3 linked regions of the Coturnix japonica genome follow. The protein of the gene in region 1 interacts with the protein of each later gene in a pairwise test. Links are inferred from orthologs where the notes say so. Each region holds a gene or a part of one and is shown in the gene's direction. Other genes may lie near its edges.

Region 1 (4,239 bases):
AGCACAGCTGCTGTCTGGGGTCTGGGCACTGTGCTGTGAGCTCCTTGCACCCTGCTAGCACAGCAGCTCCAGCCGCGATCGAGTTATTGCAACAGACTGAAAATGCTCAGCAAAAAACTTGCAGTTTAAGGAGAAAAAACCAAAAGGGAAGGGAAGGAAATGTGGCCATACGCACACTGGAGATGAGGAACCATGGAAAGCTGGGGCCGAGGCTCTGGAGCTGAGTGCTGCTGGGGAGCTGAGTAATAGGCTCTGCAGTATTTGCTCTTGGGACATCATCCCGCATCGTTTGGACATCTTACTGTCTGTGGCATCTCCTTATTGAATGTGTTTTGTGTTTCCTTAGAAGTGCCCCCGCTGAAATTGCTGTGTTCAGTTTTTTCCTCTGGTAGCTTCACATCTTCAAGACCTACACAGTGCTGCCATAACTCCTTCCTCTCAAACTTCACTGTCCTTCGCTTACCCTGTCTCTACGAGTGGAAATTTTGGTTTTTCCTTCTCCATCTTGGCAAAGCTGATCTTGCTTTTCTCAAAAAGACAACACTTTCGGGTCTCTTTCAGCCCTATCCTAAACAGTTCCATGATGTTCCTCAAAACAATCTCTGTAGCAACACAACCTCACCCACAACTGGGCCGTACCCGGCCCCTTTCTGAACGGCGACCCTGTGGGGAGACCCTACGCCACAGCCGGGTGGCAGAGGCACCCGCGGCACTGCAGGGACCGGGCTGGGAGGCACCGAGGCCTCTGTGAGGAGCGGTCTGAGGGTGACGATGCTCCGTCTCCCCGCCACCTGCCTGCACCATTTGTGTGGCGGGCACTGGAGGCCGCGGAGCGGCGCCGAGGTTCACGGCGGTGCTGCGTGACCTACCCCGACCCGCACCTATAGAAGCGAGCAGTGCGGGTTCATCGGAGATTTGGGGGATGTCCTTCCCCCTCGGGGACCGTGGGGCGGCGGGGCGGTCCCGCTCTTCGCACCTCCCGCAAGGACAACCGCAGCGAGCGGCGGGGGCGGCGGGCGGGGAGGAGGCGGAGGAGGGGGCGGCTGCGGCGAGGGGAGGGGAAACCTCCGCGCCCGCCGCGTCCCACTCGCCGCCCGCCGCCCGCGCCGCAGCTCAGCCGTGCCCGCAGCTCCCGGCCCCGCTCGGCTCCCCCCGGGCCGGGGCAGGCGGCGGAGCCCCCGCCGCGTCCCGCCCGCAACTTTCGCCCCCGCCGATGGCTCTGGGCGGGGGCCCTGAGGGCTGCCCGCCGCCCCGCGCCCGTCCCTCATGGGGCCCTAACTTCGCCCCCGTCGCCGCCGCCGCCCCGGGGCGGGCCTGAAGCCGCGGCGGGGCCGCGGGCCCATGGCCGGCCGCGCGCCGCCCCGTCCCGCCCGCCGCGGAGCCGCCCGAGCGCCGGCGCGGGGGCGCTGAGGGAGGCGGCCCCCCGCTCGCCCCTGCCCGGGTCGCCGGCGGCGGCGGGGCCGCGGGATCCGTCCGCGCTCGCTGCCCCCGCGCAGCGCCCGAGCGCTCTCTCCTCCTCCCGCTCCCGCTCTTCCTCCTCCTCCTCGTCCTCGTCTTCGGCGGCGGCGGCGGCGGCCCGCGGGTGACATGCAGTCCCTCATCTCTCCGGTGACCAAGGCTATCCTGGTGGCTCTGTTCATCTTCGCCATCCTGCTGATCCTCTACGTGATCCTCTGGTACATCTGCCGCGATGTGGATTGCGACCACGGGATCTGAGCGGCGGCGCGGGGCCAGCGCTTAGAGGAGCGGCCGGAATCACCCCCGCGGGGCCGGGAGGGAGAGGAGAAGGGAGAGGAGGCGACCGCCGAGAGCGGCTGCACCGCCGCACCGCCCCGCGCCTGACCTTCAGAGACCAGGGTGACCCGGTGAGTGCCCGCCGCCCGGCAGCGCGATCACAGCGGATCGGGACCCGTCCCGGCGGCGCGGGGTCGCGTTGCGGTGCCGGACGTGTCGAGCGGAGCGGGGCGGGCGGTGCGGCCCCGCATTGGTATGCAAAGGTGAGCGCGGGGCGGGGAAGGCGGCGCGGGGACGGTGCGGGGCAACGCGGGGACGGAGGGGAAGGAAGGGGATGTCGGTGAGCGGCGGCCGCCTGGGGGAGGCGGGCGGAGAGGACGAGTTCCACCTGCCTTCCCCGCGGCACGTGTGCGGGGAGCTCCGCCGGGCTGTGCGGGGAGCCCGGCGCTGTGCTGGCCGTGCGGTGCCCGGGGACTGCGGGAGCGGGGCTGGGTGGGTGAGCGCCTACGTGCCGCTGAGCTGGGACGGCCCGGAGCCGCCGCCGCCCGGCTGTGCGCCCACCTGAAGGCGTTTGCGGCTCGCTGTTTTCCCGCTGTTACCGTCAGGCTGCGTTTGCCGCGGTGTGCTGAGGCAGAGAGACATGACCGCTTTGCGCTTAAAGCGAACCTGCTGATGGCAGGATGGTCCTGAGCGCTCGGTGCCGATGCTCCCGCCCTTGGAAAGCGGCTGTCGGGAGCGCAGAGAACTCCGTCCGCACGCACAACCCTGCGGGGATGCGTTCCGGTTCCATTGATGTGTGTGCGCAGCAGGAACGGGAGCAAATCGCGGTTGGTTTCGAAGGGGAGACCTAGGGAAGTGTGAGGTGCGACAGCGCGCTTTGAGATGGTTTGACATTGAGCGGCTGTAGCTGAGCGCTCCGCTCCGCAACGGGGGCTGTGCCGGGCTGGGAGCTGCTGGGAAGCGGGGCTGCCATCCCGCTGGGCTTCTGCTCAGTCCGTCTGGGACCCGGCATTGCTGCCGTGTGACTGTGGCAGCGGTGACAGCGTCATTCCCTCACCCTGCACCTCCAGCAGCAGTGCCGTTGTGTGCAGCTCCCTGTGTGCCCCAAAATGCCAGAGCAGCAGGTGATGGAGGGAAGGGAGCGGGCAGCAGAATGGGCATCGCTTCCCTTTTCTGTATGCATTAGACTATGTGAAAATAGAGCAGCCCAGCCGTCCTCTATTTTGCTGTTTTTGCAGCCTCGCCAATGAGTAAACTTGTTTGCACCTGAGTTGCAAAAAGCTCTTCACACCCCGACACGCCAGGTGGTGTCACATGCTGCCATCCCCAGCAGCAGAGCGCTCTGTGAGCACGTCCCTGGCCAGGGGAGCACAGCAGCATCATGACAAGGGGCTTCACCCATCACTGTCAATTATTGGAAAGCAGCTTTGGAGATGCTGCCTACAGAACTGGGTGGGACGTGGCAAGTGAAAGCGGTGTTCAAGAAACTTTGAATCTCGATAGATATATGTGTGTGTGATGAAATGTTGTTGGTGCTGATACAACCAAACCGATTTTATAGTCCATGTCGTAACTAACACTAAACAGCTCAATGTCTGCAGAGATGTGAAATGGTCCCTCGGTTATTATCCAACCCTTGGTGTTTCCAGCTGGCTCATTATTATTTTAAGCATAGTCTCTAGGAGATGCGATGTAGAAAATAATTCCTTTAACAGCTTTTGTTCTAAGTAAGGCAAACATATATGTGCTGATATATAAACATGTGTACATTGTTTTATGTAAACACTGAAGGGTATTTTTTTTTCCAGCTTAGCACAACAGAAAAATGAGCAAAGCAATAGTGAGCGGTGGTGCATTTGTTTTGTAGTTGAAGTCACAGATTCACCAGCTGCGGGTGGGTGTTGTGTACGTGCACTGTTATGTATTAACATAACATAACATAACCCTGTAAATGCAAAACCCCCCTTCCCAGTGCTGTGACACTTGGCGTAATGGGGTGAGATCCAGGTCTTGTTGGGCTCGGTTGTAGAAGACTGAAGTTGGTTTCAGTGGAGCCAGAAAAGCACTGATGGATTTGCACGTGTGGTTGAAGCTGCAGGAAGCAGCTGAAGTTGACAGAACTGTTAAAGCAGTAATCAAAGGTGGGTCAGCTACAACGGGGCACCTAAAAATGCTATTTTGGTACTTATTTCCTTGCTCAAAAGTTGCTGTGAGTGGTACCTCCTCTTCAAGGCAAGGACAGCTTGTTATCACTGTCCTACCTGGGCCGTGAGAAATCATTACGTTGCAAAGATCAGCAATGCAGCGGGCTGAGCGAGTGTTACTGTTCCCTAAGCAGCGTAAAAGGCCGTGCAGACGCTGCATGAAGGATGTTTAAAAGCTTTGCCTCTTTGCGTGAAAAATGCTGTGACTGAGTTACCACTGCTTCATTCTCAGAAGCGCGGCGAATGTTACATGTAAATCCTTACAGTGAGGCAGCGTGCTGCAGTGTGGTCCCAGCAGCCA
Region 2 (4,092 bases), on another chromosome or scaffold:
CACAGTGTCTCCCAAAGCACCCGGCGATGAAGCCCACCCCAAACCCCATGGCACAGATTGGGGTTTGAGGGAAGAGACGCTGCCGCTCGACCCTTTTTTCTCCCCACATTGTGGTTGTCCCTCTTTTTAGTACCAAAAAGTGGAAAACTGAGGGCTCGGTGCCACGTGTGGCCCCATAGAAATTGGGAGCTCAGGTGCCAGAGGGGTCGAACCTGGACCCAAGAGTTTGCAGTGCACGGAGGTGCCGGTGCCTTCCCAGTGCTGTGGCTGCTGAAACTTCCCAGGGAAGGCCCGGGACGGGAGCCCTGTGGGCAGCACCTCCATTTCCAGGCGCTGCTCCTTAAGACCAGTTAAGGGAAGGGGATGGAGCGGGGTGATGCGGTGAAAGACACAAACGAAACGGGAGGGGGAAAAAAAAACAAACAAGACGAAACGACGGACCAATAAACGGGGCAATGGCGAAGGAGAGCGGCGGGTGCCCGGTCAGATGTCCATCTCGAACTGCGCGTCGTCCCCTGCAAGAGACACCGAGAGGAGCACGTGTGCATCGCACGGCTCGGGGACCCGGGAGGGGCCGCCCGCTTACCGGCCGCTGGCTTGCCGTCTTGATTGCTGGGGCTGCTGGGCTCCACCTTGGGCTCGTCGCCGGCCCCGGGGCTGGTAACACCGGGGATGTCGGGCAGTTGGCACGGCGGGGTCTGCGCCATGGGCGAGTTACGGCGCTCCAGCAGGAACTTGCGGTCGTAGATGATGCGGGTGCCTGCGGAGGGAGGGAGGGCCGGGGCGGGGGGACGCGTCCGTGTCACCCGGGCGCTCTTCTTATCCCGCGGGGTGCCGCCCTTACGGACACCCGCAGACCCCGACCCCCCGCCCGCAGCCTCACCCGCTCCGTGCGGCACGGCCTGGCCTTCCTGCGGGGCCCAGCCGCGGGGAGCGCCGCAGCTCGGGGCGTAGGGCTTCACACGCTCTTACCTCCCGGCGTGGTGGAGAACAGCGTGCCGCCGGGCGTGCTGCAGCAGCCGGGCGGCAGCGAAGCGGCGTCGCCGTGCGGCGCGGGGCGGGCGGGGATGGCGCGGCTCTGGCTGTGCTGGCGGCCGCCCGCCGACGCCATGGCCCCGCGCTATTGTCCCCGCGGGGCGGGGCCGCCACATCCCCGCCCGCCGCCACACGTGGTCCGCAGGGGAGGAGGGCGCCCGGCTCCGGAACGGGGAACCGGGTTCGGCTCCCGCCGCGTGGCTCGGTCCGCGCGGTTCGATCTCGGACGGGAGGTGTCCGGAGAGCCCGAGCCCACCCGGCCGCCCTACGCGAAGCCCCGCTCCCGCCGAGCCCGCAGAGCGCGCCCCCAGCCCCCACCCCCGGCCGCCCCGTTGGAGCACATGTCCCAGCGCTTTATTTTTAGCAGCGGGGAACGCCGCCTCCGCCGCGCCCGCAGCGTCCCCCCCCGGCCGCCCCCATGCAGAGAAGGATGGGCGAGGCGGTGGCCCGCGTGGCCAGGAGGGTGAACGAGACGGTGGAGAGCCAAAGCGACACGCTGGGTAAGGACGCGGCCCCGGCGGGGTGCCGAGCTGCTCCGTCCCCGCACCACGTCGGGGTGCGGCGGGGCCCGTCCGTGCAGGAGGGCCGCGTGTTTGGCAGCCTGGGGCCGTGCAGCTGCCCCCGCCGCTCAGCCGGCTGTCCCCGCAGACCTGGCCGACTGCAAGCTCGTGTCTTTCCCCGCCGGCATCTACAAGGCGGTGCGCAGCGTCACGCAGGGCATCCACCGCATCTCGCTGGCTAACAACGAGCTGAAGGCTCTCGGCGCACGCTTCGCCACCACCTTCAGCCAGCTGCGAGGTAAGGCCGGCCTGATGTCACAGGAACACTGAGGTTGGAAAAGCCCTCTGCTCACCCGGCCCATTCCCACCATCCTACCGCCCGTGTGCTTCAATGCCACATCCCACGGCTCTGGATCACAGTTGGTGGGGGGCTGCCGGCTCACGACATGGGAGCTGGAGCGCAATGATCTTTAAGGTCCCTTCCAAGCCAAACCATTCTGTGATTTAGTGACACTCTCCAATAGCTCAGCATCTTTTGTCTAGAGAGGAGACAGCTAGTCAGCACAACACCAGCCTAGAGCACATCCATGTCACATACAGATCCTCGCAGCAGCCCTGGCTCCCTGGAGGAGTCCTCCACTGGGAGCTTTGCTGCACAGAATGGAGGGTCAGCTTTGTTCCTCTTCCAGAACTCAACCTGGAGGGCAACCTCCTGCACCGCCTGCCCCAGGAGCTGGGCTCTCTGCTGCACCTGCGCACCATCAACCTGGCCCACAACAAGTTCCGGCACTTCCCTGAGCCCCTGGCGGCTGCCCCTGCACTGGAGAGCATCAACCTGGAAGGGAATGAGATTGCAGGTGAGGGGGGGAGGGGGCTGGGGAGGAAAACTGGTGCTTGTGACCGTATCCCTTCTCACCACCCCTCCAGGCTCCTCCACTTCATGGCTCATGGCTGTATGGTCTGGGACCACAATGGAGTCCACTGGGTTACTCTAGAGCCTCAAAGGCTGAGCTTTCTGTATGATTTATGAGCTTTTATTTACATTTACCTCTTCTTCCCTGTGCACAGCAGCAAAGGAGAGTTGAGGAGAACCCATTAGCATGAGCTTAGCCAGCACACATTGATGGCCATGCAGGCTTTGAACCCTTTGCTTGCCGCTGTGGCTGGTAGAAGACCAGCATCATCTCTGTGTCTTTGGAGATGATGCAGAAGCATCTGAAAGCTCACCCTCATGCTGTTATCTAGCAGCCTGCTCACTTCCAGCCAGCATACCATGTCTGAGTGGTGTGGGGATGAAGGTGGGCTGGTTTGTCTGCCTTTTATGACTCAGGACCCAGGTTTCGCCACTCAGTTCCATAACAAACTGAGGACCCTGCTCTGGATAAAAGCATGGCAGTCTACAGAAGGTGGATGGGGGTTGATTTGCAGCACCAGGTTTTGATGCTGCCATCCCAACCACACGTGGTTCCTGGTTCTGCCCGTTCCCTTCTGCTGCACTGGAGACAAAGCTGCTCTCAGGGCCAAGCCAGGTTCAAGATATCTGCTTCAGGGATCTCAGTCTTCTGGGGGATGCTGAGCCACAGCGGGTGATGTTCTCTAGGGAAATGGGAGGATGAGCACATCGATTAGTGCCTGCCTGCAGCCCTGGGCTCCGGAAGAAGCCCTTCAGTGCTGCCAGCCATCCCTTTCATCTCAAGGAGCTCTTAACCTGCAGAGTAGTGATGCATATATTAACGTCAGGGCTCTTAACCCTTTCCCTGCTCCTTGCAGTGATATCACAGCATTATCTTTCATGCTTAAGGCTGATGGCACCACACAGCTGCACACTCCCTGGTTGGAACACCATTGGTTTCCTCCGATGCCTGCTGCTTCCCCAGCAGCCTTCCATCCCAGCTAGCTGGATTTTTTTTAACCATTATTATTACATTCTAAACAGAGGAAAATCACTGCTGGTTAAATTATGAAAGTGGCTTCTTGCTTTCTTTCTTGCTGTGTTTTAATGCCTGTTTTCTCTTTTCCACCCGTTCTGCTTGGGAAAGCAGGACAAGGAGGGGGAGAAGCTGGCAGCAGGGTGCAGGCGGCTGTAAGCATGGGCGCTGCTGCTGTTCCTTGCTGCCTATGCAAGCTGCCATGAGCAGCACTGAGCTTTGCAGCTGCATTTAACCTGTTCTATTTTTGTTTTGTTTGTTTGCTTGTTTAAAATAAAACCATCCCTCCCCAAATCCTGTTCCCTTTGCTCCCCCTTGCAGAGGTGCCAACAGAGGCTCTGGCCTCCATGTCCTCGCTGCGGAGCCTCAACCTACGTGCCAACCCTGTGTGCCCTGCTGTACGCCTGCTCGTCCGGCCCCTGGTCCCCTTCGAGCTGCTGCTGTCACCTGAGGGCAATGTCCCCACAGCCTGACCTGTCCCTGCTGCCCGGCACCTGCAGGAGCGCACACTGGCCCTGGAGCTCCCCATGGCTTCCAGCTGCTGGCACGATGTGCCCCAATACCTGATTAAATGTGTTATGTGCACTGTGTTCCCTGCATTGATGGATTATTTGTTGCCAGCATTAGGC
Region 3 (3,642 bases), on another chromosome or scaffold:
TTCGGCCACAGGTTTATTATCACTGATGCTGATGAACATGTGCTCAATTATATGGAAAGTAACGCAGAGAGTTTTCCTGCATCAACACTACAGTCCATGAGGGATCATTTTCGCTCACGGCAGGTGGTGGAGGAGACTGCCAAAAGGTAGGCTTCCAAGGATGGCATATGGAGCTAAGTGAGACTCAGGGCTGACAACTAAGGGCATTTCCAGCAGCTCTCATGGGCTCCAGTTTGCTGTCTAGTGGCTGCTCAGCTGATTATTCAGCTCCAAAGATGTGTCTGAACAGGTATAGCAGGGGATCAAGAGTGTACGATGTCATGGGTATCGCTGACCCCAAAACCTTGTGGGCCAGCTCTGGCTCAGTGGCAGAGACAACTAGAGGTGAATGAATGCAGTCATCTTTTCCCAAAAGGGAGCAGTAAACTGTGATAGGTGCTGCTAACAGTATCTTCATGAGTCTTCATTTGGTTGCAGACTCAGAGAAAGGATGGTGGGTTTGTTTTCACATTTGCTCTGGCTCTCAGCCTGCCAGAGCCTGGACATCATCCCCCGTTTTAGCTGTCTGTCTGGACCCGTTTTAGGCCACCCAGTAACAGCCCTGTAACCACAGGATGCCCTTTAGAGTCAGCTTGTGGAAATTCAGAGGCTCTGGTTGAAACTTGAGCTGCATGCAGTTCCTGGGACCATATGAAACACACAAGCAAACCCTCATTGGCCCAAAGTATTTGGTGCACAAGGCAAATGTCATGCAGACAGAAAGCAATTTCCCTAATGTCCAATATCAGGACTTAGCTCCACCTGCAAGTTCAATCTGAGATGAGCTTGCCATAAAAAACAAACACCCCAGAAGCCTGCTGTGTATTCAGAAATACAGCCCAGACAGCCACACAAGCATCACAGTAGGACTGTAAGAAGTAACTTCTACATTAAATTCTATTTTCTCTTCCCTTCTACAGTAATGTTCCTGCTCCAGGAACCAGCATACAGGAACTGGATGAACTAATTGAACGGGTTCAGGACGAGCTGAAGCTCCATAACTACTTGAACTTCAGCAGCATTCGGGAGGCATTACTTCGTTGTGATAAGGATCAGTCTGGTTTCCTCAACAAAGCCAAATTTTTATCCATTTGTGACAGCCTCAAGGTGCCAACCAGTGCCGCTCTGGTTAACAAGGTCAGAAGGAAGGGGTGCTGTGCATATTAAAATTCACTCCCCCCATAGGTGTTCTGAAAGATCTCTTTTACAAACTAACCCAAACCAAGCTCAATCAACAGCTATTCTGTCCTACAAAGGGGAACAGCTCCACGAAAAGGGTGAAAGAATCCCAGTTCAGAAAGGCTTCTGTGCTGTTGGACCGAACCTTTCTCTTAAAGGAGGAAGTAACAATTCCTGTCCTTTATGTAATGCGTGTTGACCCCAGCATATTATAAAATTCTAAGTGGCTGCTTGGTCAGGACTTAGAGATGAGCAGAAGAGGGGGTTGTAAATCATGGAGATGAGGCATAGGCTCCTGTGGAGCTACTGAGTGTCTGTTGTGTCTTAGGCACACCTGGGCATGAGTAGAGATGACACTGAGATGCTTAGAGGATCGTCCTTATGAAAGCCTAGACACACTGTGAATTTAACAGCAGCTGAATTGAAGAGTTGAGAACTAAGTGTTTTACAAAGAAAAAAGTAATCATAACCATTACAAACTCGTTCCACGTTTATCTGGCAGTCTGATCATGCTGTGGGAAGTCAGCCTACGATCCACCTTTCTGCAGGTTATAGCATTTGTGTTCAGCAAGTCTGTAGCTCACAAGGCAACATAGCTTCCTCTGCTGCCATATTTCAGGCCCTCTATGGCCATCAGGTTAACCCAATTGAAGCAGAGCCTCCATCTATGACCTTAGCACTAAACGCATCTCTCTTGAAATCTTAATAAGAACGTGCTCAGAGCCCATACGAGCATGACAGCACTGTAAATGAAACATACAGCAGATGGTTAACTACTGTGTGGCCTGGAGAGGAGCACAGCTGTCAGTCACTCACGAGCAAACCAAGTAAATCTGTCTCCAGGCGACAAGGGGAAGAAGAATCCTTTCAAGGAGCTCTGATATTAGACCTTTTCCATCTCCCTGGGTGTCAGAAGGAGATTAGTTATGCAATTAAGGAAACAAAAGCCTTCTTTCTTCCCCTTAAGCATACGAAGGCTATAGCTCTGTAACGCAATGCAGGGTGAGGCATGGATACCAGAACTGGTTCATTAGCAGGGCTGTCACTGAGCTCAATTATCTGTGTCTCCACTTGATGCCATTTGCACATACCGAAGAGACGCCACCAAACAGTGCCTGTTGAGATGCGGGGCCTCCATCCTGCTTTGGTCAGGGACTTGTGTGAGGTTTCTGAAAGATGTGCTGTGGCCTTTGCCAGTCTTTGGCCACCAGTTTTTTGTGGCTCTGTTGTCACTGTGGTGACACTTAGAGGGCAGACCCTAACCCTAACACTTTAACTCTTGTCCTTGCATAGGTTGGTGTCATCTATAGGCATTCAAAGTTACCTGTGATTCAGTACTATGGAGCCAGTCTGCTCCTCTGCTCTGTCACGTAGAGAATACCTGTGGGCACGTTTCCCTATAAAAACATGTTTGCAGGTTCCTTCAACTCTTTCTGACGTTGCTTCTTTTTTCCCCCCAGCTGATTGACCTGTGCACCTATGGAGGTGACCAGATAAACTACCGTGACTTCCTTAGAGCCTTGCCCTTGTGATCCTCGCCTAGAAGCTGAAGCACAAGACCAGCAATGATTTCCTTAGCTGAGCTGACTGTAAGACCTCACACTTTAAAAAGGATGCTCTGGTTTTTACCTTTGAGTCTTTTCCTCTCTCTCTTCCTTCCTAATTGCACCCTTGCTTGGATAACTTTTTACCTTCCCAACCTGCCCCTGCTGTTTTTGCTGCCACCAAAATCAATCTCATAACTGCTGAATACTGAAATGAAACCCACAAGGAAAGCAAAAAATGGTTTGGAGAACCACAGCCAGGTTCTTCTATTGATCTCTCAACTTTTTAGTGCAGTACGGCAAGGCTTGCTAGAGCTAAAGCCTGGAGTGATAAGCATCTCAATTTCATACAGAGTTGAAAGGGGCCTGCAGTGAGAAGACTGCCAGTTTAAATTTTCATTTGCATTGCAAGAAAACCTAAGAGTTCTGTCAGAAACCACAATAAATGCATGCTAGCTAGTCTGACTATAAGCAACTGATGCATGGCTTCTATAAAAGTGTTAAAAAGTATGCTTTAAATAAATGTACCTCAATGCCAGGAATTGCTAAGGGTTAAAGTAAGGAAAAAAAACACACCACCACCACCACCACAAAGCCAACTCTGACTCTGGCTTTACTTGAATAGTAGCTTAGCTCTCACATATCTCATGGAAATTGTAGGGTCTGCACACAGCTGTGCTGACAGCAGCTTTGCATTATTTTAACAAAGGGTTGGGAGAAAGGTTTTAGAACTGAGATTGCATCTAAACCCATCTCATGCAACCTGTCATCTTACAGGATAGGTCTAATGAAAAGGAAAAACTAACCGTTGGCATAGCAATAGGGCTGTGACATTTCTGCTCTGATTTCTCATCTCTCCATGAAGAGAAACAAGGCAGGA

What was found.
Region 2: the proteins of ZBED1 (region 1) and LRRC20 interact in binary tests that used the Homo sapiens proteins (3 or more experiments, as listed by UniProt). The two-hybrid records come from large-scale screens. The link is inferred for Coturnix japonica from reciprocal best matches to the Homo sapiens genes ZBED1 and LRRC20.
Region 3: the proteins of ZBED1 (region 1) and EFHC1 interact in binary tests that used the Homo sapiens proteins (3 or more experiments, as listed by UniProt). The two-hybrid records come from large-scale screens. The link is inferred for Coturnix japonica from reciprocal best matches to the Homo sapiens genes ZBED1 and EFHC1.

What each region holds. Positions count from the first base shown.
Region 1 is NC_029516.1:115,859,944-115,864,182, forward strand, and holds the start of ZBED1 (zinc finger BED domain-containing protein 1), read left to right. Parts: upstream 1-1,397; 5' UTR 1,398-1,865; intron 1,866-1,915; exon of another isoform or gene 1,916-1,997; intron 1,998-4,239.
Region 2 is NC_029521.1:9,514,992-9,519,083, forward strand, and holds LRRC20 (leucine-rich repeat-containing protein 20), read left to right. Parts: upstream 1-1,224; 5' UTR 1,225-1,453; coding exon 1,454-1,535; intron 1,536-1,683; coding exon 1,684-1,833; intron 1,834-2,224; coding exon 2,225-2,392; intron 2,393-3,784; coding exon 3,785-3,936; 3' UTR 3,937-4,053; downstream 4,054-4,092. Other genes in the region: EIF4EBP2 (eukaryotic translation initiation factor 4E-binding protein 2), read right to left, coding at 484-515, 587-760, 973-1,111.
Region 3 is NC_029518.1:98,059,063-98,062,704, reverse strand, and holds the end of EFHC1 (EF-hand domain-containing protein 1), read left to right. Parts: coding exon 1-146; intron 147-959; coding exon 960-1,176; intron 1,177-2,678; coding exon 2,679-2,750; 3' UTR 2,751-3,304; downstream 3,305-3,642. UniProt on the Homo sapiens protein: Microtubule inner protein (MIP) part of the dynein-decorated doublet microtubules (DMTs) in cilia axoneme, which is required for motile cilia beating.